7 linked regions of the Mus musculus genome follow. The protein of the gene in region 2 interacts with the protein of the main gene of each other region in a pairwise test. Links are inferred from orthologs where the notes say so. Each region holds a gene or a part of one and is shown on either strand. Other genes may lie near its edges.

The links.
Region 1: the proteins of Ccndbp1 (region 2) and 1700088E04Rik interact in binary tests that used the Homo sapiens proteins (3 or more experiments, as listed by UniProt). The two-hybrid records come from large-scale screens. The link is inferred for Mus musculus from reciprocal best matches to the Homo sapiens genes CCNDBP1 and C22orf23.
Region 3: the proteins of Ccndbp1 (region 2) and Pimreg interact in binary tests that used the Homo sapiens proteins (3 or more experiments, as listed by UniProt). The two-hybrid records come from large-scale screens. The link is inferred for Mus musculus from reciprocal best matches to the Homo sapiens genes CCNDBP1 and PIMREG.
Region 4: the proteins of Ccndbp1 (region 2) and 2310039H08Rik interact in binary tests that used the Homo sapiens proteins (3 or more experiments, as listed by UniProt). The two-hybrid records come from large-scale screens. The link is inferred for Mus musculus from reciprocal best matches to the Homo sapiens genes CCNDBP1 and PEX39.
Region 5: the proteins of Ccndbp1 (region 2) and Ilf2 interact in a two-hybrid assay, tested with the Homo sapiens proteins (2 studies listed by BioGRID and IntAct). The two-hybrid records come from large-scale screens. The link is inferred for Mus musculus from reciprocal best matches to the Homo sapiens genes CCNDBP1 and ILF2.
Region 6: the proteins of Ccndbp1 (region 2) and Psmb10 interact in binary tests that used the Homo sapiens proteins (3 or more experiments, as listed by UniProt). The two-hybrid records come from large-scale screens. The link is inferred for Mus musculus from reciprocal best matches to the Homo sapiens genes CCNDBP1 and PSMB10.
Region 7: the proteins of Ccndbp1 (region 2) and Rplp0 interact in binary tests that used the Homo sapiens proteins (3 or more experiments, as listed by UniProt). The link is inferred for Mus musculus from reciprocal best matches to the Homo sapiens genes CCNDBP1 and RPLP0.

Annotation. Positions count from the first base shown.
Region 1 is NC_000081.6:79,138,452-79,142,507, forward strand, and holds the start of 1700088E04Rik (UPF0193 protein EVG1 homolog), read right to left. Parts: upstream 2,801-4,056; 5' UTR 2,704-2,800; intron 2,542-2,703; 5' UTR 2,533-2,541; coding exon 2,430-2,532; exon of another isoform or gene 2,318-2,429; intron 850-2,317; coding exon 787-849; intron 1-786. Other genes in the region: Polr2f (DNA-directed RNA polymerases I, II, and III subunit RPABC2), read left to right, coding at 2,964-2,983.
Region 2 is NC_000068.7:121,011,408-121,014,409, reverse strand, and holds part of Ccndbp1 (cyclin-D1-binding protein 1), read right to left. Parts: intron 2,977-3,002; coding exon 2,880-2,976; exon of another isoform or gene 2,852-2,879; intron 2,728-2,851; coding exon 2,654-2,727; intron 2,058-2,653; coding exon 1,981-2,057; intron 1,712-1,980; coding exon 1,434-1,711; intron 453-1,433; coding exon 392-452; intron 1-391. UniProt on the Homo sapiens protein: May negatively regulate cell cycle progression. May act at least in part via inhibition of the cyclin-D1/CDK4 complex, thereby preventing phosphorylation of RB1 and blocking E2F-dependent transcription.
Region 3 is NC_000077.6:72,041,032-72,045,301, reverse strand, and holds the start of Pimreg (protein PIMREG), read right to left. Parts: upstream 2,801-4,270; 5' UTR 2,768-2,800; intron 2,286-2,767; 5' UTR 2,253-2,285; coding exon 1,965-2,252; intron 322-1,964; coding exon 44-321; intron 1-43. UniProt on the Homo sapiens protein: During mitosis, may play a role in the control of metaphase-to-anaphase transition.
Region 4 is NC_000083.6:46,771,190-46,773,907, forward strand, and holds 2310039H08Rik (uncharacterized protein C6orf226 homolog), read left to right. Parts: upstream 1-1,445; 5' UTR 1,446-1,623; coding exon 1,624-1,968; 3' UTR 1,969-2,218; downstream 2,219-2,718. UniProt on the Homo sapiens protein: May be a peroxin involved in the PTS2-mediated protein import pathway.
Region 5 is NC_000069.6:90,482,701-90,486,200, reverse strand, and holds part of Ilf2 (interleukin enhancer-binding factor 2), read right to left. Parts: intron 3,425-3,500; coding exon 3,359-3,424; intron 1,748-3,358; coding exon 1,631-1,747; intron 512-1,630; coding exon 433-511; intron 17-432; coding exon 1-16. UniProt on the Homo sapiens protein: Chromatin-interacting protein that forms a stable heterodimer with interleukin enhancer-binding factor 3/ILF3 and plays a role in several biological processes including transcription, innate immunity or cell growth.
Region 6 is NC_000074.6:105,935,593-105,939,699, forward strand, and holds Psmb10 (proteasome subunit beta type-10), read right to left. Parts: upstream 2,801-4,107; 5' UTR 2,419-2,800; coding exon 2,363-2,418; intron 2,175-2,362; coding exon 2,087-2,174; intron 2,000-2,086; coding exon 1,902-1,999; intron 1,790-1,901; coding exon 1,649-1,789; intron 1,390-1,648; coding exon 1,274-1,389; intron 1,163-1,273; coding exon 1,104-1,162; intron 556-1,103; coding exon 404-555; intron 314-403; coding exon 202-313; 3' UTR 136-201; downstream 1-135. Other genes in the region: Lcat (phosphatidylcholine-sterol acyltransferase precursor), read right to left, coding at 3,980-4,107. UniProt on the Homo sapiens protein: The proteasome is a multicatalytic proteinase complex which is characterized by its ability to cleave peptides with Arg, Phe, Tyr, Leu, and Glu adjacent to the leaving group at neutral or slightly basic pH.
Region 7 is NC_000071.6:115,558,188-115,562,266, forward strand, and holds the start of Rplp0 (60S acidic ribosomal protein P0), read left to right. Parts: upstream 1-1,279; 5' UTR 1,280-1,352; intron 1,353-1,599; 5' UTR 1,600-1,647; coding exon 1,648-1,701; intron 1,702-2,553; coding exon 2,554-2,817; intron 2,818-2,911; coding exon 2,912-3,058; intron 3,059-3,145; coding exon 3,146-3,331; intron 3,332-4,079.

The sequences.
Region 1 (4,056 bases), on a different chromosome or scaffold from region 2:
TTTGTAGATCAGGCTGTCCTGGAACTCAGAAATCCTCCTGCCTCTGCCTCCCAAATGCTGGATTTAAACCTGTGTTCCACACCACCCCAGGAATTTTTTTTTTTTTTTAATGTATATGAGTACACTGTAGTTGTCCTAAGACACACCAGAAGAGGGCATCAGATTCCATTATAGAGCATCAGATGCCATTACAGATGGTTGGGAGCCACCATGTAGTTGCTGCGAATTGAACTCAGGACCTCTGGAAGAGCAGTCAGTGCTCTTACCCACTGAGCCATCTCTCCAGCCTTGTGTTTTGTTTTGTATTGGTTTTTTTGAGACAGGGTTTCTCTTTGTAGCCCTGGCTGTCCTGGAACTTACTCTATAGACCAGGCTGGCCTCAAACTCAGAAATCTGCCTGCCTCTGCCTCCCAAGTGCTGGGATTAAAGGCGTGCACCACCACTGCCCGGCTTACTGAACCCTTTTTAATGAGACGAGATCTCACTGTGTAGCCATGGCTGTCAAGAACTTGCGGTATGAACTCCCCATCCCTTTCATATAGAGCGACATTGAAAATGTATTTCTGAGCCAGGCATGGTGGCACTCATTGTCAAAACTAACACTTGGAAGGCAGAGGCAGGCAGACTTCTAATAGATCTGTTCGAGGCCAGCCTGGTTTACAAAGTTCCAGGTCAGCCAGGGCTACACAGAGAAACCCTGTCTCAAGAAAAAAAAAAAAAAAAAAAAAAAAGTATCCCTGGTTCCTTCGCCCAGAAAGTCTCTAGCGTCAGAGTGACTGCCCTTACTTTTCATGGTGTCCATGATGTGGCGTTGCTGGAAGTTTGTCAGTTTAGACTCCTTCATCATAACTGCAAAATAAAGCCGGGGCTGACGTCTGGAGCTTCAGCAGACACACCTCATCCCACCAGGTCCCGCCCTTGCCCGCCCCCCCCCTCCATTCTGCACTGAGCTCCTCCACTCCTCTGCCTACTCCATCTTCTTTAGAGTGCCTGTCACTTAAGGTTCTTTTCCTTTTCTTGTATTTATTCATTAATTTATCTTTTTTTATTTCTCTTTTTATTTATTTGTTTATTTATAGAAACGGTCTCACTTTGTAGCCTGGCTGTCCTGAAATTTGGTATGTACATTGGGCAAGCCTCTAACTCACAAAGACTCACCCACCTCTTTCTTCAGAGTGCTAGAATCAAAGACATGAGCCACTATATGCAGCTTTTCTCCCTTTAAGATTGTATGTGGGCTGGAGAGATGACTCACATATCAAGAGCATATATGATGCTCTTCCAGAGGTCCTGAGTTCAATTCCCAACAACCACGTGGAAGCTCACAACCATCTGTAATGGGATCTGGTGCCCTCTTCTGGCCTGCAGGCATACATGCAGGCCGAACACTATCCATAATAAATAAACAAACAAATCTTAAAAAATAAAAGGTCGTGTGTGTGTGTGTGTGTGTGTGTGTGTGTGCGCGCGCGCGTGCGTGAGTGTGTAGCTATGCGTGTATGGCTGCCTGTGGAGGGCAGGGAAAGGCACTGACTCATAGGAAGCTAGAGTTACACATTGCTTTGACCCACCTGATATGGTTGTGGGGGATTGAACTTGGGTCCTTGAGAATAGCCAGTGCTCTTAATCTCTGAGCCATCTTTCCAGTCCTTATTTTATTTCAAGGATAGGTTCTTACTATATTATCTAGGCTAGCTTTTCTTGGGCTCAGGCAATCCTCCCATTACATATGCCTAAGACACACACACTTTTTTGGTGACTGGCTAACATGGGTGCTGGGGAATGAGCTTTCAAAGGGCAGTACATGTTCCTAACCACTGAGCCAGCTCTCCAACTGTAACACACACAGACTTTTTTGTGTATGGTGTGCTGGGGCTGAAACCCAGACTCCACATCTGCCTAGAATATACTCTGTCACTGAGCAACACCTTCAGCTCTATAATTTTCTCCTGTTCATTTTTCTTGTTACCCTCCTGTGTTATCAGTTTTCTGAGAGCAAGAGTTGTCCTTTGCAATCCTCTCAACACTCTATTCCTAGTACCTAGGACAATATCCAAATCACACATTAGGTTTTTGTCGTTGAATAATTAAGTGCATACATGCTCATTCATGTAGCAGAGGCTGGAGCTACAGTTGTGAGCAGAAACAGGCACGTTTCTTTGCCTGGTGGTGTTCACCATTTAGAAGGTGACACTAAACACCTCTAAGACTGTATAATGTCTAAGCCTGGTGAAGGGAATTGAATTTGGTACTGTGAAGGTCCCACTGCAGTGAGGAGATAGGCTTCATTGAAAGTGCATGTAAAAGATGAACTAACCATTCCAAAATTCTCCATCTCTGGTCTTTGATTCTTCCCCGAACCTTTCAGAATCCCAAGCTCTTAAGGAAAAACCGCACCGCTCGGGTCGTTGATCCCCTAATGCACTGACCTCTGAGCAGCTCACAAGTCCCCGGCGTGTAACCTGCTTGCTTACGGCAGCGGCGGAACCCGGTTCCTTTGGTCACCGAGTCCACCCTTTCCTGGGAAGCCATGGGAGGGCCCTAGGAGGGAGAGAAGCAATGACTCGCCCTAGTTACGCTTCGCAATCCGGACCTCTCATCACGAGCAACCTGGGAGTCTGAGAAGCTGGTGCCCGACCCCTCGGCTCCGGACAGCGCAGTGACCACAGTCCCTATCGTGACGGTCCGGGGAGGAGCGCTCACCTTAGGCGATGACCTGGGCGTGACAGAGCCCTCCGCACGGAGAAACTCCAAGGAGCTAGAGTGTCAGCGTCCTCACTAATCGCTCCTTGTTACCATGGTAACTAGCGACACGCCTCCACGCACGCGCATTAGCGTCTGGTCGGCCGCTGCTTCCCGGAAGTAACTGCGCCTGGGTCACGGCGCAAGCGCAAACTACGCGTGGTGCGGCGAGGGGCAAAGGCGCGCGTTCTCTGCTCTGCGCCCCGGGCGGAGAAGGCATCATGTCAGACAACGAGGACAAGTGAGCACGGGCCACGGAAGGAGGGAGGTCGTGGTGCGAGCAGGGCTCTTGGAGCACAGGCTAGCCCAGCTGCTGGGTTGGTGGGGCGAAGTCTTCAGAACTTCCTACCTCGCGGAGCAATGGGGACAGTGGTCAGAGAGTTCAGTCCGTGTGGCCCCTGTCCTCTGAGCGCTCTCTTTCTGGAAGGGAATGCCAGAGGTGTGTAGCTTGTGTAGTCGTGGAAGTAGGAAGGAAAAAGCAACCCAGAGAATGGCCTGGAAGGCTGGGAGCAGACGCGGGCTTGGGCTAGGTGTGATAGTAGCAGAGGTGGCAGAAGTGGGGATAGACTCTAGAGAGCATGAAGTTTAGTGTTGTTTGAGGCAAGGCCTCACTCTGAAACCCAGGCTGCCCGGGAATTCACTATATAGCTAAGGCTGGCTTTGAATTCGACACAGTCCTCTGCTTCAGCTTCCCAAGTGTTGATATATCTGGCATGAACCACCAGACCCAGCTGGATTATGGACATTTTTTTTTTTTTTTTCCGAGACAGGGTTTCTCTGTATAGCCCAGGCTGTCCTGGAACTCACTTTTGTAGATCAGGCTGAACTCAGGAATTCACCCACCTCTGCCTCCCCAAGTGCTGGGATTAAAGGCGTGCGCCACCACCACCCGGCTGGACATATTTTTATTTTATTTATTTGGAGACCAAATATAACCTTATATCAGGTGGTTCGAACATAGAGATTCATCTACCTCTGCTTTCCAGGTGATTTTTGTTCTTTTTTTTTTTTTTTTTTCCTGAGACAGAGTCTTTCAACATAGTCCTAGCTGTGTCTGGAAGTCACTGTGTAGATTTGGCTGTCCTCAAACTTACAGAGATCTGCCTGCTTTCACCTCCTGAGCACTGGATTACAGGCGTGCGCCACCATGCCTGGATCCTGATATATTTTAAAGATAGAACCTAAAGGATTTCTTGATACGCTGTATATGTTAATCAAGAGAGAAGATGAACTATGGTAGTCCTGATAGATCAGTCAGAATTCAGAGTCTGGGCGTGGTGGTTCACACCTGTAATCCTAGCACTTGGGAGGCTA
Region 2 (3,002 bases):
TTCAAACAATTATTCAAGTGGTTCTAAAAGAATTAAAATATCAGAGGCTAGAGAGATGGTTCAGTGATTAAGAGCACTAATTGCTCTTCCAGAGGTCCTGAGTTCAATTCCCAGCAACCACATGGTGGCTCACAACCATCTGTAATGGGATCTGTAACCCTCTTCTGGTGTGTCTGAAGACAGTAATGGTGTACTCATATACATAAAATAAATAAATAAATCTTTAAAAATAAAAAGAATTAAAGTATCAAAGCACATGGCTATTATAACAAGAGTCCAGCTAGTATTTATCAAGCCAAATACAAACAAGAACTATGAAGATATTTTATCTGCACACAAGTTTGGTGATGATATAAATGCTCTATAAATACTAATGAAAGCTGGTACTTACACTGATCCGCACAGTGAGGTGGCACACAGGTGGGTATATGCTCAGAACCAAGTCATCCACACTAAGAAGCAGACAGACGGAACCATTAACCACAAAAAGGGGGCAGAGCTCAGCGTGGCTGTTCCCAGCACACAACCAACTCAGTTCCTTAATTTAAGCAGGCATGCAATGCAGAAGAAACTCAACCAATGTTTACTGGGATAAACATGTACTATTTAGGAAGCTGGGGGGAAACGTGAGTGGTTCACAGGATGGGGAATTAGTTCTGTCAAAGACATGAGGATTCAAAACCATCAGTTCAGTGATACTGACAGAGTTCATCAATGGAAACTAAACATGTGAGGCAAAAGGACCTCTTCAGAAGAGGCCACTACTTTTAACCATGTAACTACATTTATTACTACTAAGCAGGAAAATTAACATCAGGTGCCTCCCCAGCAGGATATAAAGGAAAGTACAAAACACGCTAACTTTTGACCCAAAATGTTTAACTTTGTTACTACTATGAGAAAATATTCTTATAAATCCAAATTGTTGTGTAGCTACCATATGTAATTCTGAAATGCCAATGTCAAGTCAGACCACAAGGGACAGAGACTAAGATTGTAAGAAATTAAACAAATGCCAAGAAAATGTAGAAAGAGATCTTAATGAAACTCAGAATGTAGTTAAGACATTTTGAGACAAATAGAGAAATCTAAGCATTAGTTTTATTATTACATCGAATGTCAAATTTCTTGAATGTGACTCCATGTCTGTTCTTAGGAGGTGGCTGATAAAATATTCACGGGTGAAAAGTCACTTATGCCTTTATGATTTAGGAAAAGCATATCATCCCTACTTATCAAGAAGTAAATAAATACACGGGGGAAAGGTGAACAGAAGCCAAATAAAGGATGTACGGCTACTGACTCAAGTATTTTTTCAATTTTCCTTTAGGCTTGAAAAATTTTAAAACACAAAAAGCTGGAAGCAGCCCTGGAGCAAGGGCATCAGCTCAGATCCCAATGCTCCTGTTTTCCCAGGAGCAACCCACGCTTACCTGGGGCTGATCTCATCAGAAATGTCCACAATGTCATCCAGCTGGGCCACCTCATCCTTCTTTCCATTCTCAGCCACCAAGATCCGGATTTTCTTGAGTGAAGCTCGGGATGCTCTCACCAGCGCCAGGCACGGGATTATGAGTTCTTGATCTTCCTCTGACCAGTATGAGTCCCGATTGCTGGGAAGCCCTAACACACCATCCTCATCACTGTGGCTGTCGGAGTTGTCTTCAGAATCATTCAAGAGGCCGCTGTACGGGTCACATTCTTCTACAGCCTAAGACATACCATCATATTTGCGAATACAAACACACCACCACCATCAGCCACCTGCTTTGCTATATCGGCTACAAAACTGAATCGATTTAGAAACCAACATTCTCATTCTGCTTGTCCAGCAATGAACAGAGGAGGCAATGAGAAACAAGCCAAACACAGTGGGAGACAGAGGGCAGGACAGGAGTGAGCGTGGGACTATTCAGTCAAGCTGCGGGCAACCCCTGCCTTTATGATCAGTTCTCAAGAAAGATGGGTAAGTGCCCTCACCTGCTCCATTTCTTCATGTGCATCTTTCACAAAATCCACACTCTTGGTCAGCATCAAAAGGGCTGCGGCTTTGTTATCTATGAGTGAAGAATCAGAAGCACTAGAATTAGAGGAGAAACCTGACCGTTTCCTTAAGACCACAAAGGGCAACCAGCACTGCTTTAATTCTCTTATTACACCCTCTGCCTAGAAAGTGGGTTAAACAGGCTTTTTAATTTCACCTAAAACTGTCTCATAGTGTTTATTACCACATCCTCTTGATAGCCACTCTCAGTCTGCCTGGCTCTGTTTTATAGCTCTTTCAGCGAGCTCACCCATGCTGTTCCTGGCACAGTAATAGGAGAGCAACTAGAGAGAGCAACTATCTGTTCAACTAGAGAGAGAGAGCCACAGTAAGAGGAGTCGTCTGAATTGAACAGTTGTGCTCAGTGGCACAGCGCTTGACTGGCACACCCTGGGCTCAATCCCCAGCACTGCCAAAACCAAACCAAACATGAGCATAAGGAATGGCAAAAAGTATTAAATCAATCAACTAATATCAATGAAAATAAACTATATGTTATTTCACTAAAGTCTTCACAGAAATTAAAATATATCTATAAGGCACAGCTGGAAGCTAGACCCGAGAGGCCTCTCTGCTCTGGCCAGCAGGTAATAGTTTACTCCTACCCACCTTTTGGGATCTCAGGCACCTGTTGACATGCGACTGAGACACTATTGCAGGAAATCAGGTCACCATTCTCAGTGCTGGAGAAAGGAATTAACAAGGACATATCAATAACCTAGGTTTCTGTCTCCCAATAAGGTCCAAGATGAGTGACTTTGCTGTGAGGGCCAATTTTCCCTCCCTGAGTGAAGGAACCCCACTAACCGTTAGCCCACACTGCAGCACCCACTACCTCTGAGATGGAGCAGTAAGAAGCACTTCCAGGAGCTGAGCCATGCCGTCCACGATGTCCAGGGCAGCATTCCGTACCAGCTTTCTCAGGGTGATTCCTATGGCCAAACCCAAACTCGAAGTT
Region 3 (4,270 bases), on a different chromosome or scaffold from region 2:
GGGACAGAAGGGGAGGTCCTCCTGGGCTCAGACGACTACTTGCCTGGGAGAGCAGAGAGGTTCTGTGGAGGAACAGGGGCTCCGGAGGGCAGACTCCCTCCTTAGCCGCTGACGGCGATGGGCATGCGGACCCATCTGGCCAGAGAGGCGAAGATGTCCCCCGACTCTAGCATCCCGGTTGGCCCTGCATAGCCGAGTGTTCTTCTGGCTCAGACTGGGTGGTGGTGACCCTCTGTCTTTCTGGGCTCCTCGCTTCCTTCTCACTTTCACCTGTGTCTCCATCAGCCACTTGGTGCCACTCTGACAGGACTCCTGGATCCTCTGTGATGGGTTCATGTGAGAAGGTTGGCACAGATAGGACCAAGGTGGGCTACCAGGCTCTAGCCATTCTTCCAGCCCAGGGCTGGCCCCACAAACACAGTCTGCTGTTACTAAGCAGCAGCAACAGTAAGCCAAGAGCAACAGCATGACTCCCCATGAGATGGTACTCTCCTCCAAGACCTTCCTGAGATCCAGTGTGGTAACTCAGCAGGTAGCAGCAAGACCACTCTACATCTGAGCCCCCAGGCAGAGACTAACTCAGAGAGTGAGGGAGGCTCAGTTTTCTGGATGCCAGCTCTGGATCCTACCTTAGTCCTATTCTTTCTCTTCCCTCCTCCATCTCAGTCTAACATACTTCAATGACAGGTCTGCTCATAACACTTAATTGCTCTGAGCCCTTCCATGGCTCCCAATAATCTACAGGGCTGAGTCCCAACCCTTGGATCTTCAACATGTGGCTGGGTCAAACAGCCTTGCTAGATTGTCTTTGCCTTGGCAAACCAGAACCCAGAAGTTGGAGCAAGGCCCGAGATAAGTTTTCATGAGTTGGGTGACCTTAGACAAACTGTCACATTTCATTGTTCTGAGCTATAGCGATGTTGAAAGCAATCTTAGGGCTCTTCCAAGTCAGAGCTAGACTTTGGCAAGGAGACCTCTCTGTGGAGTCGTCAGAGGCCTCTGCTCTCTCCCTACACCATCAGAATGCCAGCAAGATGCCAGGGGCCATTCCCCCTTCTCTTCTTAGAGGTCTGCTCATTCTCATAGCTTCTGTCCTGTCCAGGGGACACCTGCCCACATCTCCAGCTCCAGGTTTAAAGACCTAGGTGGGGTCAACATGATATCGTAACAGGTACATCTTCTTGCCACCAAACCAGGCAACTCGTGTGATCTCCAGAACCCACACGGTGGAGGGAGACCTTATTCCTTCTCTGACCTCCAGACAAGTACCACTGCATAAGCGCTCCTCCCATAGATAAATATTAAAACATTAAAAGAAGATATCTGCTCGAAGGCTCTTGGACACACCACACACAAACACCACCCCTCAAATCTGCCTTCTGAACCGCTCAGGAAGTTGCACCCTTTCTGCAAGCCCCGCTCCTCTGCCTTTTTCTACCAAATAGTTGACAGCTAAGGTGTAAGAGTGTGACTGGGAGACTTTAAATGGGGGTCAGCACACAGGATCACCTCTCTCACTATACTGACTGCTTAGCTTCACACTGGGGACTCTTCTCTTCAGCATCCACGCTGGACTCACTCACAGCATCCCACTGGCCCTGTGCCTACATACACCTCCCCTTTCCTGAGTGATCTTGGAAGAGTCACCTATTCTAGGAAGTCTTTATCCACTAAGCTTGAGACTGGTATCTCTTTATAGATAGCCATTTCCTGCAATTTTCTATCACAGGACATGGCAGGTCACCTTGCATGGGGAACACCAATTTCTTCCATGACTTTATTCACCTACTGATTTGTTGGGAAACTATTATGTGCCAGAATGACCGGGGTTCTGGGAAAATGGCAAGAACCTAATCAAACCCCAAGACCCCATGGAGTCTATATTCCTGGGGTCTCCCTGAGGATAGGGACAGTCAACACCAAGGACGCTTCTGTAAACAGACGGCTGGTGGTGTCATTGTTACCTGGGACATGGCACCCAAGGCGCTTTTGGCTGAGCGAGCTGCAGCCTGAAGACCTTGCTGCTCTGGCTCTGGACTTTCCAGGCGTTTCCAGGAGGGGCCGTTACCGAGGTTCAGGCTGACCGCTCTCAGAGGCAGCCTCCTTTGGAATTGTCTGCACAGGGAGCCCAAGGGACCGGTCTCCGGATGACCCCCAGCAGACCGGGTCACCTCCTTCTTCTCTAGCTGTTCCTCCTTTAGGAGTGATCGTCTGCGCACAGAGGTCCTCATGCCCTGCCACTGAGACGCCATGTGCTTGGTCCAGTTTCCGCTGCCCGCTAGATCCTGGGGAGGTCAAAAGGTCATCAAAGTACTCCCTGACCCCATTCCAAGGCTCCAGGGACCTTGGGAACTGGGAAAGAGATGAAGTGGAACCTCGCGGGGTAGGCCTGTTGGGCAATTGTGGATGCCAGAAAGATGACCAATGGCATCATGGTCAGCAGCTGCCTCCGTTGCAAGGCGGCAATTTGTCCGTCTTTCCATCCTAGCCTATTCCCCATAGGCTAAGTGGAGTGGCACACAGGTCACGGAGCCTCGGCGCTTACGCAGGGCACCAGCAGTATGCTGTTTTCACAAATTTTCCTCTCCGGAGCAGATTTAGCAATCCAGCCAAGGCCTCGGATCCGATGGGGCGTTTGCAACTCCTAGACATTCCCTTTGTCTTGTGGGTCCTATCCAGAGCTCCTGACCCGTTCCCCATTCAGAGCTCCCCGTGAGACCGTCCCCCACCCCCCTCCTTAAGCCCCTCGGTAACCCCGCATGCTCACCTCCCTGCTCGATACCCGGACCCGAAGATCAACACCCTCTCCTAGCCCACCGCAGCCGATTTGAAACTCCGCGCGGCCCCGCCCCGCCCCGGCGCTTGCAGCCCATTGGCCCTATCAGCCATCCACCACCGCCGCCCCGGATTTCGATTGGTCTTTTTCTCTCGTGACTGTAAATCCTGCTTTGGGATTGGCCTGGCCACGCCCATACATCGTTCGTAGACCCCCCACCTGGCTCGCCGCAGAGGGGTCCAGGTCGCCACCGGATCACTGTTACCGACCAGCCCGCCTCCCTACATCCCGGCTGCTTGGTCCCAGGCGACCGCGCCTAGTCCATCGTTCTCCCAAGCTCTCTTCTTCAAGCATGCAGGTCAGGGTGCAGGATGCTGCGGGGGTTCAGGTCACCGCCACCCAGGGCACGCGCCCCTTTCAGTCCTTCACCCCGCCTAACTTCTCTCCCACGATAAGTAGTTTTGTCAAAGCGATAGGCTGGGACTGCCGAGCTTTGCGATCCCTGGGAAGTTTTGTTTCAAATTCCCCGCGTAATTCTCTTCCTTCCTGCGAGATGGCCCTGCCCCTGTCTGTTCCTCAAACAAACACCCTGCTGGCGGCGCCCAAGAAAGCACATCTCAGAGGAGGGGACAGACTGTAGATCACCCTCTCCACAGTTAGGTCAGTTCCTCTGCCGGGTCTTGCTCTACGCATCTTTCAATCTTTCTTTCCTGTAGTCTGCCAGCAAGCTAAAAAAACAAAACAAGAAACAAAGACGACGACGACAAACAACAGCAACCCAGGCTGGGTCACTTTCTCCCATGCTTTCATTTTTATGGTTTTGACTTTTTTTAAAAAAAATATTTTTATTTTTAATTATATGTCTCTGTGCATGTAAATGCCTGTGGGGTGGCGTGGTGGCGACACAGAAGAGGAAGTCAGACCCTCTGGAGCTGGAGTTAGAGGTGGTTGGTTCTAACTGGCCACACTCAGCCTCCCCAAGATTGAAATCAAGGGGCCTGGCGTGCCACCACAATGGGGCCTTCTTATCGGTCCTCAAAAAAGAATTTCTCTTCTCCCTCCTCTCTCCTTTCCTCAGCCTGGAGTGAGACTCCTAGAGACTCTTCAGGCCTCTTCCTGGTGTCAGGATTGTCTGACCCTCTCCTGACCTCAGTGTTTACCTCCCAACCCCCTATAATAATAATGGTTGATTTGTGTGTAGCACTTGCAAACACTCCCTTTCTATCAGCAAGCCCAGTTTATCCCCAGTGCTCTGCAGCTCTGTGAGGTAGCTGGGGTGTGGAGAGACTGGCCGTACACTTCACTCACTAACTGTAGCAGGGTGAAGGACCCAAAGGCCATGCATGCAGGGACGTTGTCTGTGTGACCAGGGTTGACCCCCTCACTGTTGCTCCTCAGACCCCACCCTTTTCCAGCTGGGGTCTCTCCCTTGACTCCTGAAGCCAGCACTCTTCTGGGTCCTGTCACCTCCTGCTGGCTGCATAAAGCCAACAG
Region 4 (2,718 bases), on a different chromosome or scaffold from region 2:
AACACCGACATGATAGCAGAACTAAGGGTTCAGTTGCTCTCTTCTGGCCTTTAGCAGTACTGCATGCATGTAGTACACAGACATAGATGCACATAATAAAATTAAAGGGGGGCCCGGGCAGTAGTGGCACCCGCCTTTAATTCCAGCACTTGGGAGGCAGAGGCAGGTGGATTTCTGAGTTCGAGGCCAGCCTGGTCTACAGAGTGAGTTCCAGGACAGCCAGGGCTACACAGAGAAACCCTGTCTTGAAAAACAAAACAGAAAAGGAAAGGAAAGGAAAGGAAAGGAAAGGAAAGGAAAGGAAAGGAAAGGAAAGGAAAGGAAGCCCTAAGAGGTTCAGCATTACATGAGGAAAAGTGTGCCAGAGGGGCTGCAGACAGAGCTCTCAGTTAGTAGAGTGCTTGGCTAATACATATAAACTCCTGTGCTCCATTCCCGGCACCATACAATACAATTCAATTCCCAGCACATACTGGACATGGACCCCTGTAATCCCAGCACTGCGGAGGTGGAGGGCCAGGAGTTCAAAGCCGCGGTTGGGAATGGTCAGCAGTTAGTGCCTGCCGTGCAGGTGTGAGGGTCAGAATTTGAATGCCCACAAACCCAGATAAATGCCAGCTGGATGCGGCGGTCTGCCTACTTCTGCCCTTCGAAGGCAAGGATCCGAAGTCAGACGCGTGCATACGCGCGCGCACGCACACACACACAGACTATATTGTGAGTTCAAGTTCAAGGTCAGCTTTGGCTACAGGAGACCTTGAAAACATGAGAACGGGGATAAAAATTCAATAGCCCTACCTGCTGAGCCATCTTACCCACTTTTTGGGTTTCATGGGGTTGTTTCCGGTGAAGGGTAAACATGCTGTGTGCTTTTAACATTATGCAAAGTATGCTTTACTTACTGATTTCTTGATCTGTGCCAGATCAAGCTGTTTATTATATACTTACATGTTTCAGTGTGTAACTCGGCTGGCTCTATGGCCCGAGCATATGGTGTTACAAGCATGAGCCACTGCATCCTGTCAGGATAGCTTTGATACAGAAATCTGAACAGCATTGGGAGGTGTAGCGCAGCAGACATTGGGAGATGACGAATCCTTGGCTCAAACCAAAATTGACTACAAATCCCAAACAACACATAACCCAAACCCAAACAACAACAACAAAAACCAGGGATTTGATCCTTAGTACCACAATTAACAAATGTGACGAGCGCTTGCTTGCTTGCTTGGAAAAGCATACAGAATCACGCTCTGGACTGTAGCGCGAGACTCAAACTACCAAGACGACCCTCCCGGCCCTGAGCGCGCAGCCTGCGTCCGCATCTACACGTGCCAAAGGGAAGTGCTTTTGTACAGCCACGCCTCCTCACACTTGTCTCACTGGGTGCAAAAACTTCACTTTTTGGCTCGTTCCCCCACCCCACCCCGCCCGCTCCTCACCCACCGCAGCACATCTCATGTTGTGGAATGAGAGCTGGAGGTTAACCCAGGCTGCAGCTTCTGCACAAATAGCCCGGGTCTTGGAAGGTCTACCCTGGGCTAAGTTACTAAGCTCCCCTCTACTTTTCACGAAGTGGTTGCTCCCACTCCACCCGGAAGTGCTTACAGCCGGATCCGGGGGATGAGCTGGTGGCAGGACATGGACCAGCGTGGCGGTGTCTCCAGTCCGAGCGGTGCACTGGCGTCTGCCGAGCCAGCTCCTGCCTCGGTGACCCTGGCGGAGCTCCTGCACCTGGTACAGAAGGGCCAGGAGGTCCCGGGCCTGGAGAAACGCCACATCACTGCGACCCACGGTGAACCCACCGCGTCTCTGCTCCCTCGGAGGCCCAAGCCCTGGGAAGATGCGGGCTCGGCCGCCTCACCCTGCACCATCGCCCTAGACACGAGGACGCAGCCTCCGACCATCGAGGAGCGATCCCGGGGCAGTCCAGCCGCCCAACTCGACGGAGGCCCAAGGGTTTCCTGATGCTCGAGGTGTTTCCCGAGGGCATGACTGGGTCCTACACAAACTTGAGTCTGGACACTTGCCACCTGTGGGACTCAATGTTGCCTAGTAATTTTGTTTTTGGATGCCAAATTTCAACTTCATACTGTGTCCTAGTCCATTTGTGTAACGGAAATAAGTTTCCCTTGTCACTGTAGGACAGCACAACCTCCTGGACCCGCTTGTTCTGATGATACCGATAAACCGATATCCAAAAGGCATTTCTAACTTGGCAGTCGTTTGGGTTTGATGAAAAGGTTCCTTCCCAGAGTGATACATAGAAACCCTGGTTCTTGGAGTTGGGGGACTGGAGAGAGGGCTCGGTGCTCTTCCAGAGGATCAAGGTTCAATTTCCAGCAAACATGGTGACTCACATTTTAATGGGATCTGACGCCCTCTTCTGTTGTCAGTGTGCTTGGCCACATAACTAAATCTTAAAAAACCCTGACTCTTGGGAGCAACTAAGGTAGTGCGAGCAGAGGCAGTTTGGTAGTTGGTACCCCCATAGGAGTTGGCTTTCTCCTCCCACCATGCACCAGACCCCCCCCCCCCCCCCCCCCCCCCCGGTTAAGCTCTGGCTTGGCAGCAGGTGCCTTACCCAGATTCATCTCCAAGGCTGAAACTAGTAGTTGGGAATTAAGCCCTGGGTTTCTGAGGGAGCATTCTTTCCTCCCCGCAGGACTTGTGAAACGGTGCCAGATGCCCAGGGGACTGGGCGAACGGCTCTTTTTA
Region 5 (3,500 bases), on a different chromosome or scaffold from region 2:
TATGAGAACTTTAACTCTGAATAAGAGACCCAGGAATTAAGAGATAATAAAATCATATTGACATTTCTGCACAAGTTAGGAGTCAAAACTGACTGTACTATTTAGAGAATTATATATACAGTGCCTAGCAGCTGGCCCAGCAAAGAAAGGCATTTGTACCCTAAGTCTGACAAACCTGAGTTCAATCCCTAAGACTCACACAAGAGAACTCAGACTACACTGCACCCACACACAACAAAATTCTATATGCACGTGTATATATATATATATATATATTTTTTTTTTTTAGATAAAAACATCACATCTGAAGCAGTTCTATCAGAGAGAGTAGGGGGCCTGTACTGTTTGTTATTCACAGTTGTTGGATTACAGGTCAAAGCCACTACACTCCTCAGAAAAGATTATTTTATACAAACGACCAATGAGACTCACGTGGACTGAGAAGCGTTCTCTTCAAACCAGCGGGCATGCCGGATGGCTGCTAAGGCGCTCTGCAACACCTTGATGTCCACTGAAGACAAGTACAACAGGCTAAAAAAACTTTCCTATTATGTGTGCAGTATATTCAATCCCAATCAATACCCATCCAGAACTGTGGCAAGGCTAAGGTAGCAAGCCATTTGTCCAAACACTGTTGTTCCTCCCAGCCAAATCTGAAAACATGCAACACACTTATCTTTTCCAGTAATCTATTTCCCTTCACAAGTATTTATACAAGCTTTTACTTTTTTTCTTTCTCACTCTGGCCCCACTCACTCTGGCCCAAAGGTTTATTACATGTGAGTACACTGTAGCTGTCTTCAGATACCCCAGAAGAGGGCATCAGATCTCATTATGGATGGTTGTGAGCCATCATGTGGTTGCTGGGATTTGAACTTGACCTCTGGAAGAGCAGTCAGTGCTCTTAACTTTTTTTGTTGTTGTTGTTTTGGGGGTTTTCCAGACAGGGTTTCTCTGTGTAGCCCTGGCTGTCCTGGAACTCACTCTGTAGACCAGGCTGGCCTCAAACTCAGAAATCCACCTGCCTCTGTCTCCCGAGTGCTGGGATTAAAGGCGTGTGCCACCACTGTCCGGCAAGCTTTTACTTTTTATCTTTTTCTTCAATTTTTTTTTCTTCTGTAATCCTTTTTAAGACTTTGAAAATGTTGGAGATGGGCTCTATCTATGCTTTGATTCAATCAGGAATCTGCATGTCCAGATGCTGAAGGTCAATTAGAGTTGCTCCAGTAGGATGCAGAGAGGAATGGAAGAGAATACCAACCAGCATTGTGAGATTTCGGGTGAGTGGCCACTGGCCACTTTCCTGACTGGGCATAAGGTAGCAGGGGGAGGTTTAGGAGTACCCAGCCTTTGAGGCAGCCAAGGCATTTAAAAATAAGCTAATGTATCTTTCATTTTCAGATCCAAAAGATAGCTCCATCTGCCAGGAGCCAAAGTGGTATAGCAAAAACTCCCACAACAGCCAAGTCACTAGGAAGCTGGTAAAACTAACTAGAAATGACAGGGAAGGTAAAACTCCTTTACAGTTGACAAGATACTAACATTTCCAGAAAGTGCCAACGCTTTGGCTGTCTGTACCTCCTAGCCCCCACCCCCATATTTCTCAGCAATGGGGAGGGGGGAGACTTACAATGGAGTTCTGGATCCAGTTTTCGGAGATTGGGGGGCACTGTTGTAATGAGAATTTTCACCGTAGCATCAGAAGAGCTAATTTCAAAGCCAGTTTCATTAGTCAGCATGGTCAAAACTAAAAGAACAAAATAATCAAGATGTAAAACATAATTGTTCTGTTTTGAATTTTTTAAAAATTATGTTTTATTTAGAGCATATGAGACTGGGAACACTCACACTCCTATAGAGAGCAATGGACAGCCTTTAGGAATCAGTTCTCTCCTTCTACCATGCAGGTCTGATGGAATGAATTCAAGTCATCAAGCTTGGTGGCAAGCACTTTTTTTTTTTTTTTTTTTTTTTTGGTTTTTCGAGACAGGGTTTCTCTGTGTAGCCCTGGCTGTCCTGGAACTCACTCTGTAGACCAGGCTGGCCTCGAACTCAGAAATCCGCCTGCCTCTGCCTCCCAAGTGCTGGGATTAAAGGCGTGCGCCACCACCGCCTAGCTGGCAAGCACTTCTAACCCACTGAGCCATCAAGCTTTTGAGACAAGATCTCAAGTCGCTCAGGCTGCCTCCCAACACATTATGAAGCCAAGGATGACTTTGAATTCCTCCTCCCTCGACCTCACCCATCTTGAGTAGAAAGAAGCATGTGCCAGCAAAGCTGGGGTATGTAATGCTGACTACTGATCCCAACTCTACACACACTAGACTCACACTCTACCAACTAAGCTGTATCAACCCTGCCTTCATTTTGTTTTGAGACATAAGGTCTTTCTATGTATACAGTTCAGGCTGGCCTTAAATTACCAATCCCCTGCCCAAGTTTTCCAATGCTGGGGTTATAGGTGTGCCACATCTGATTAAACAGGTCAGTTTTCTGGCAGTGGGTTATTTAGGTTTTGAGACAAGAATGTATGTGCATGTGTATATGTACTGAAGGCTGGCCTCAGACTTCAGATCTTCCTGCCTATGCTTCCAAGTACTGGGGTTAATAAGCATGTACCACAAAACATCAGTAAGAGCTTGGATACCACTAAGTAGAAGGAGGCAGCAAGGAGACGATCTCTAGCACTAGACCAACCTACCCACATAAAAAAGTAGGGGAGAGAGCGGGACAGGACAGGACATGAGACCTCAAGCAACAAAGGGCCTGAATATGAAGCTCAGTGGCAAACTGACTGCCCAGCATATAAGAGGTGTGGTGTTCAACCTCAGCACCACACACACACACACACACACACACACACAAGCAATACACCTCTAAGCTGAGGGTTATTTCTGAATTAAAAACAGCATTCAAGAGTTCAGTGGTGGGGCTGGTGAGATGGCTCAGCGGGTAAGAGCACTGACTGCTCTTCCAAAGGTCCTGAGTTCAAATCCCAGCAACCACATGGTGGCTCACAACCATCCGTAACAAGATGTGACGCCTTCTTCTGGCATGTCCGAAGACAGTTACAGTGTACTTACGTATAATAATAAATTAAAAAAAAAAAAAAAAGAGTTCAGTGGTGCATCCCTATCTATGATCCTAGCACTTGGGAGGCCAAGACAGGAAGAATGTAATTTGAGGCCAGCCGGAACAATAGTGTAAGTTTATCTCATAACCCACCTTTCATAATAAAATAAAAACTGAATACCGGAGAGACTCCTGCTAACCCCTAACCCACACTGCCTACTATTTGTAAGACCAGCTGCTGTGGCCACCACTACATGCATATTTAGCAACAAACTCAAATTCAAACCTTCTGAGGGATCCTGTGCCCTTAGGCTTTCCACGACTTTGTTCCCCAGGGCAGCAACAGCTTCCACTAGATTGGAGAAAAAGGACATAAACGTTACAGTAATGTATTTCATGTAGATTTCCTCTATTTTTTTTAAGATGTA
Region 6 (4,107 bases), on a different chromosome or scaffold from region 2:
GCACGGATAGATCCCTGAGGTGAGGAGGAGGAGGACCTCAGGCCAAGAACTGGGTCTGTCGTCCTTAGGTGAATACCTCAGCCACAAAACTCCTACAGATGCTTGGCTCACTCCTCTCAAGAAAGACACAGCCTTCTGTTTAAGTGTTTGTGTTTCCCGGATTTATTCACCCTCATTCCAAACTCTACATCTCAGGCCACTTCATTCCACCTCCATGGCCTGCACAGTTTCCTCAAGAAGTTCCAGGGTCAGGGGTCTCACTTCCCGGGTCAGGACAGGTGTGGTTCCAGGAGCAAATCGGTAACGGCCAGCTCTAGAAGGGAGGAGGGCCAGCCTTTTAGAATGCAGCCTGTCCATGCACACGTGTGAACACACACAGAGCCCTCCCTTCCTGTGCTCTTACCTCTGCACAGGCTCGGTGGGGGTGCTCAATGCTCTCTGCAGCTTGGCACCCCCTGCAGTGATCACACAGGCATCCACATTGCCCCCAGAGCCCAGGTCACTCAGGATCCCTGCTGTGATGGCTTCCACCAACAGCTCTTGCGCAGCCTCCAGCTGGGTAGTGGAAATGAGGTTAAATGGACCTAGTGTTACCACACTCTAACCAGGGGACTTGTTAATCTTGAAGTCTAGACAATTTGCTCTTTATGTAAGCTCAACCTCCTTTCTCTCCATCCATTGAAAATTCCAGTCCCTTGGCTTCTGACCCCCTCTCCTCCAAAACTGTGTGCCCTCCACTCACTGTCCTCTGTACAAACTTCTCAGTGTTGCTTACATGTACCCCCCCCCAAGTTGTCTTCCCACCCAGTCTGTCACGTGTTTCTCTCTGGGCCTTAGTTATCTCTGAAGCACATAGTCACTTACTTCTATCCCACTCCCAAGTCCAATCTCAAACATCATTTACCTCTTCCTTCAGTAATGATCCGTTGTGAGCTTCTGCTTCTCTCTGTGGTCTAAGCTTGGTTCCTGACTGGCCCTCCCATCTTCAACTTTACTCAGTCCCTACTCAGTTGTCCCCTTCACACCTACAAGCCTTTCTTATTTCTATACTTGGCTAGGGTTTTTCAGCACTCCCCGCCAGTGAGCATGAAGAAGTCGCTCACCGTCATGTTTGGCTGGAACCGGTCTTCCAACAGTGCCACGGCTGCACCCTGACCAGAGCCTGCAGGTGGGAAGGGGCATCCGAAGTCAGTTGTTAGCTGCGGAGGTACAAACCTTGAAGGTGGGGTTGCAGGAGCAGGATTCGTGTGATTTAAAGGGTGGAAGAGCTCACCAAGGGCAGTAAAGGGCAGACGGCTGTAGGAACCATGTGGGTGCACCTCGTAGAGCTGAGGTCCGTTCAAATCAACCCCGCCCACGACCAGTGATGCCCCCACGTGGCCTTGGTACCTGTGGAGGAGCAGGCAGGGTTAATGTTAGCAGACAGGCCCCGCCCATTACACTGCCTTTTGGTCTGAGTCCCACCCCTTCCTTTGGCCTGGCGTCCTGCAATTGACGCTGCCTCTTCCGGAACTCAGCTTGGTCTGTCTTCTTCCGGTCTCCCTGCAGGTCGCAGCCCCGCTCCCCCCCACTCCACGTCCCGCCTCCTGTCAACTCCACCCACCTGCAGATACCCCGTTTAGGGGTCATCTTAGCCCCACTTGCTCACCGGAAAAGCGTCTGGCGCAGGATACGGGTGACCGTGGCCACCCGAGGCTCACGGCCGGTGGACAGCGCATGTAGTTCCATCTTGGAAGCTGCCATCCGCGTAGTCATCTCAGTGTCCGCAGCTACTCCAGCCCCACAGCAGCTAAGGGACAAAGGGATGGTGGATGTGGACAGGGACGTGCAGGGACAAAGTAGGGAGTGAGCGACAGTGCAGCTTATGTTTGAATATGGGGACTGGTCCGGGGCATACTGACTAGATTTTAGGGGCGATGAAGTGGATCTTCTCGCAGCTTTTGTCCGCCACAACCGAATCGTTAGTGGCCCGCGTGTCCGCTCCCAGGATGACTCCATCCTGCAGAGGCAGAGCCCAGCCTTAATGCCCACCTGATCTCCGCAGTGGCTGCCCTTCTAGCCCTCCAGCCCTTATCACCCCGCTTACTCGGAACACAAGCCCCGCGATGGTAGTCCCGGTCTTGCGTGCATGAGGAACCCGAAGTCCCGGAAGGACGTGTTCCAAGGACGCATTCCTGGAAACATTGGGGTGACTCGCGTTTCAGTTCTGCATCAAGGGAGGGTCCCTGAACCGGTCCCCAAACCCATTTCTACTCATCTCCTGGCTTAAGCCCCTACTTGGTCACCCAACATAGGGTTCCCCCACTCCACCAATAAAACAAGGCACCAGCAGTTCGTGACTAGAACTCCACTCCCCTTTCACCTCTGGCAGTTCTCGAAAGAGAAGCCTCCTGTGGGTTCCACTGCCTGCTTCAGCATCTCGCAGGAAGGCCAAGTGAGAATGCGGGGGTCTCGATGAGTGGATCAGCCAGGGGGAGCAGAGGCGTCTGTCCTGGCTTCTGTGGGGTTTTTCCGGACGCTTCCTACTTTCGCTTTCACCCCCACCCTAGTTCAGAGGCTGTTGGCTGCTGTGTGCATCTTCTCTTTCACTTTCGTCTTTGCTGCTAGTCCCAGATAACTTGAGGAAGGGGCTATTACACTCCTTGCCAGACCTATGGTGCGCCTTAGATCCTCCATTCCCATCTCTGCTGACACCCCCTGAGCACTGCAGGCACATACATGTATTCAGGTAAAACACTCACACACATAACCCCTTAAAAGTAAGTAGAAATGAAGCCCTTGCAGGCTTAGTTATGTGTGTGAGTGAATGTGGTATGTGCATGCCACATGCCCACCAAGGTCAGAAGAGGGCATCAGATTCCCTGGAACTGAAGTTACAGATGATCATGAGCCACCATGTGGGCGTGCCACCACGTGGGCGTTGGGAACCAAACTCAGGTCCTCTCCAAGTGCAAAAAAATGCTCTTAACTTCTGAGTGCTTGCTCTCTCTCTCTCTCTAATGTCTCACATTAAATCTTCTTTAGATGAACTGTCTTTTCTTCAGATCCTAAACTTTTTTTTTGGGGGGGGGGGGCGCTTGAAAAACTGTTTTTCAGTGTAGTTGAGTGTAGCCCTGTCTGCCCTGGAATAAGCTCTGTAGACAAGGTTGGCCTGGATGAGAAGATTAAAGGCATGTGTACCACCACGTGGCCCTAATTTTTTAATTTTTTTATGGCTTATTTTATGTGCGTTGGTGTTTTGCCTGCATGTCTGTGTGAGGTGTCAGCTCCCCTAAAACTGGAGTTACAGACACTTGTGAGCAGCCATGTGGGTGCTGGGTATTGAACCAGGGTCCTCTGGAAAAACAGCTTCTTTCAACAGACGCTGAGCCATCTCTCTAGCCCCATTTATTTGTTTGTTTTTTCGAGACAGGTTTTCTCTGTATAGCTCCGGCTGTCATGGAATCCAAGTTCTTACATTAACAATCCCCAGCCCCAATATCTTAAATTCTATTTATTTGTTTGTGTTTTGGGGACAGAATCTCTGTGGTCTTGGCTGTCCTGGAACTGTGTGTATCAGAGTGGCCTACAGAGATCTGCCTGCCTCTGCCTCCCAAGTGTTGAGTTGAAGGCGTGCACCACCATGCTTTATTATAAATTTCTGTATCCAACCAGAACTCAAAAGTCGACTTCAAATCCTATTTCTCTGTGTCCCCATTCTAACAGCCATATACCCAGATCTGAATATTGTCCTGGGCCCCTAAGAAGGAAGCCACAGAGCAAGCTTCCTGAGCAGCTCAACTAGGACAATGAAAATCTATTTACATATCTCAAAGTCAGTCCAGTCTGGGGCCTTAGCAAAGCCCACTGAACCCCGTGTTCCCCTAAGCCCAGATCAAGCATGCATCAGCCAGGTGATGCAGGTTATCTAAGGAACCTAGTAGTGCCTTCCCCTTAACCCATAACAAACACCCTGCACTTATTTATAACAGCTAGGTCTTTATTCAGGGGGTGGGGGACTTGGGCTGGCAGCTGGCGACTTAGGAGTGCGGTAGGCACCCAGTAGGATGGCATTGATATGCTCCAGTGTCTTATTGCTGAAGACCATGTTGAGGTGATCTGTCTCGT
Region 7 (4,079 bases), on a different chromosome or scaffold from region 2:
AAGAAGCTAGTTTTATGTATCGATTTTCTCCCGTATCCCTGGAAGGGAAAGCAAACGGTCAATAAAGTGGAAGTGCTTTTTAAGACAACACAGCAAGCGGCAGAACAAAGTTATGGATCCGGGTCTCATCTGGCCGCATGCCCTGCGTTTTGCCTGCTCAACAAATACTTATCTGCCCACTGTCTGGCAGGCACAGAATAAAATCTCTGCCCTGTGGAGCTTACCTTCCTGCAGGGAGAGGCTGACAAGCAGAATGTGGTGAATTATACAGCGAGTTAGATGGTGTAAGTGCTGCAGGAGAAGGTGGGAGAGTAAGGGAGAGTAGGTTTGGTTTTGCCCCCGCCCTTAAAATTTGAAATCAAGAATCAGGGCAGGTCTCCTTGAGTAGATAGCATTTGCAGCAAGATGTGGGGGAGGTGAGTTTCTCTGACCGAAGCTGGCCAGCACCATTCAAAAAGCTGTGAAGCCGGTGGTGGTGGCGCACACCTTTAATCCCAGCACTTGGGAGGCAGAGGCAGGCGGATTTCTGAGTTCAAGGCCAGCCTGGTCTACAAAGTGAGTTCCAGGACATCCAGGGCTATACAGAGAAACCCTGTCTCGAAAAACCAAAACCAAAACCAAAAAAAAAAAAAGGCATACTCTTGAAGGGGATAAAAGGGCAAAGGGATCAGGCGAGAGGCAAACACATCAGTAGGAAAGCAAGAAAACAGATTGCGACAGTGGAAACAGTCGTGTGGGACCTTGAGAATAGTCTACGTTTTAGGCGTTTACTCAGAGAAAACGGCAATCTTTGATTAACTTTGTGCGGGTGAAGATGTAGGTTTTGAAAGGAAGAACAAAACGGGCAGTGGTGGCGCACGCCTTTAATCCCAGCACTTGGGAGGCAGAGGCAGGCAGATTTCTGAGTTTGAGGCCAGCCTGGTCTACAAAGTGAGTTCCAGGACAGCCAGGATATACAGAAAAACCTAAAAAAATAAAAAATAAATAAATTAAAAGAAAGAAAAAAGAATGGAAGAACAAGAGGAGACTAGAGCATCAGCTAGGGTTTCGCAGAAAGTTGTTTTGCTGTACTGACTCGGTGACGCTGCAGGGCGGCTCCGACCCAGCAGAGGGCAGCAGGTCTGAAAGCGCGCCTCCTGCGGCCGGGTGCTGTCTTTACTTTCCCGACTTGCTGGAGTGGCAGCGGTCTCAGCCAATAGACGCGCATGTTTATTGAGTGAGGCAGGACAGTCGATGGAACCAGCCAATAGGCATGGACGACGTCGTCTTCGGGTTTCGAGGACCGCCTGGTTCTCCTATAAAAGGCACACGCGGGCATGCGGCCCGTCTCTCGCCAGGCGTCCTCGTTGGAGGTTGGGGGGTTGTTTTGTTGTGGGAGGGCGGCAAGAGCGCGGGGACGTTGCGGGTGGGAGCGATGGGCTCGGGAAGGATCGCGGCCGGGCTCTGCCCGTCCGGTCTACCGCCTGGCTTGTCGGATCGCCCGCGCTGCTGGCGGCCGCAGCCCGGGGCCCAGCTCTGGCGTGGCCGGCTTGGCCTAGGCCTGGGATCGGGGCCGGTGTTGGGGTTACCGGGCTCAAGCTGCCCCCTCTCTCTCCCCAGTGACATCGTCTTTAAACCCCGCGTGGCAATCCCTGACGCACCGCCGTGATGCCCAGGGAAGACAGGGCGACCTGGAAGTCCAACTACTTCCTCAAGATCATCGTAAGTGTGGAGCGGGCCGGGGACGCGCGGCTTCCGCCTCCGGGTCTTCCCGGGGCGGTCGTTGGCCACGCGCTTTAACAGAGTTTGGGCATCCTGGGGAAGTTCTGTAGTCTTGGGATCTCCCCCCCCCCCCCCCGCGTTCCAGAACTAGCTCGCTCACCCAGTTTTTCATCTCGTCGAGCCCTTCGCGTTTGTGCAAAGGGCTGAGACTGGAGTGATTCATCTTGTTGCCCATCTGAGACCTGCCAGTCAGGCTGCTGTTGAGTGACTTAATTACAAAAGGCCTTTGAGGTGGCTTTGAACCAGAGCTACCAGACTTTGTAGGTACCAGTCTGTTTTAGTTAACTTTTCTTTTTTTTTTCCGAGACAGAGACAAAGATTTTTGGGTCTGGTAGTACCTTTTATATTTCACAACCTAAGATCCCCCGACCTCTCTATAATTTGTTTTCTGTGCTTTTTAAGTCTGTCTCTTCCCTGATCAGAGTCACTTTGGTCACCCAGGCACGCCTTATTTAAAAAGTAAAGCTTAAGATTTACTTGAGGCAAGTCTTCCCCCTATAGCTCTGGCTGGCCTCGGATTAGCAATTAAGCCTTACCTGTCTTTACAGGTGTGGCACCACACCCAGCTAAAAGTTAATTTTTGGCTGTGACAGTAATTTTGTGATACTCGTAACCAGCAAGGAAGCTGGATCAGATAAAGACAGACGTTGGGCTCGGGTGGCTGGCTCCTAGCGAGAAGTGTCACACCTAGGGTGAAGCAATGGGGAGGTAGAGGTAGCAGGGTTTCGGGTTTTGCTGGGTATTTTTTGTTTGTTTTCCTCTCAATGTAGTTTTTCCTGGCTTCCTTCATAGCAACTTTTGGATGATTATCCAAAATGCTTCATTGTGGGAGCAGACAACGTGGGCTCCAAGCAGATGCAGCAGATCCGCATGTCGCTCCGAGGGAAGGCCGTGGTGCTGATGGGCAAGAACACCATGATGCGCAAGGCTATCAGGGGCCACCTGGAGAACAACCCAGCTCTGGAGAAACTGCTGCCTCACATCCGGGGGAACGTGGGCTTCGTGTTCACCAAGGAGGACCTCACTGAGATTCGGGATATGCTGTTGGCCAATAAGGTAAGGGGCTGGGACGATGAATGAGGATTTGGCCATTTCGGGGCTTTCACCGATGGAGAGGCATTTCACCGTCGACTACCTCTGTTCTGTTTAGGTGCCAGCTGCTGCTCGGGCTGGTGCCATCGCCCCGTGTGAGGTCACTGTGCCAGCTCAGAACACTGGTCTAGGACCCGAGAAGACCTCCTTCTTCCAGGCTTTGGGCATCACCACGAAAATCTCCAGAGGCACCATTGAAATTCTGGTGAGTAGATGGCCTGCAGTGGTCGGTCCTTTGGGCTGGGCCTCCTGTGTGTCCAGATGATAACTGTCCTGCTGTTCTCTTCCTCAGAGTGATGTGCAGCTGATAAAGACTGGAGACAAGGTGGGAGCCAGCGAGGCCACACTGCTGAACATGCTGAACATCTCCCCCTTCTCCTTCGGGCTGATCATCCAGCAGGTGTTTGACAACGGCAGCATTTATAACCCTGAAGTGCTCGACATCACAGAGCAGGCCCTGCACTCTCGCTTTCTGGAGGTATGTCTGCCCAGCTCCTTCCTCCCATGCTGAGTGTGACAACAGATTCGTGCTGGCATCTTCAGTTGTTCCATCTTCTCATCTGCAGAAAATAGAGTTGGGCAGGAGGTCATGTGCTGGGACTCTAAAGGTTGTTAGCCTGTGATAGCAAAACACTGCCTGTGGGGGCTGTGTCTAATCCCAGCGGAGGCAGGCACCCTCTTGTGAGTTTGAGGACAGCTAGGTCTCAAACAAAATAGAACATTGCTGGTCGGTGAGATTTTGAGTATTGAGTCAAGGAGAGATGAATACAATTTAATGCTAACAATTTAAATTGTTATTACTCTATCTTTTTAAAGACTGTCCCACACCAGGCTTTTGCCATTAAATTGACCTTTTTTGTTTTTTGATTTGTTTTGTTTTGTTTTGAGGCAGGGTTTCTTTGTATAGCCCTGGCTGTCCTGGGCTTTGTAGACTAGGCTGGCCTTGAACTCAGAAATCCTGCTTTTGCCTCCCAAGTGCTGGGTTTAAAGGTGTGCACCACCACTGCCCAGCTTAAGGAAAATTGTTTCCTTGAGTGAATAACTTACTGAAATTAGACATGCATCTATAGATTTAGCATTTTAATCTTAACATTTTTTTGAGTTATTTATATAGTTTATATTTCTAACTCCAACCATGCCCACCCCCACTCATAATTCAAGATTGGGAAAAGGTTTCATTACTGGTAAATCACATCTGGAAATGGATTAATATTCTAATAGTGCTC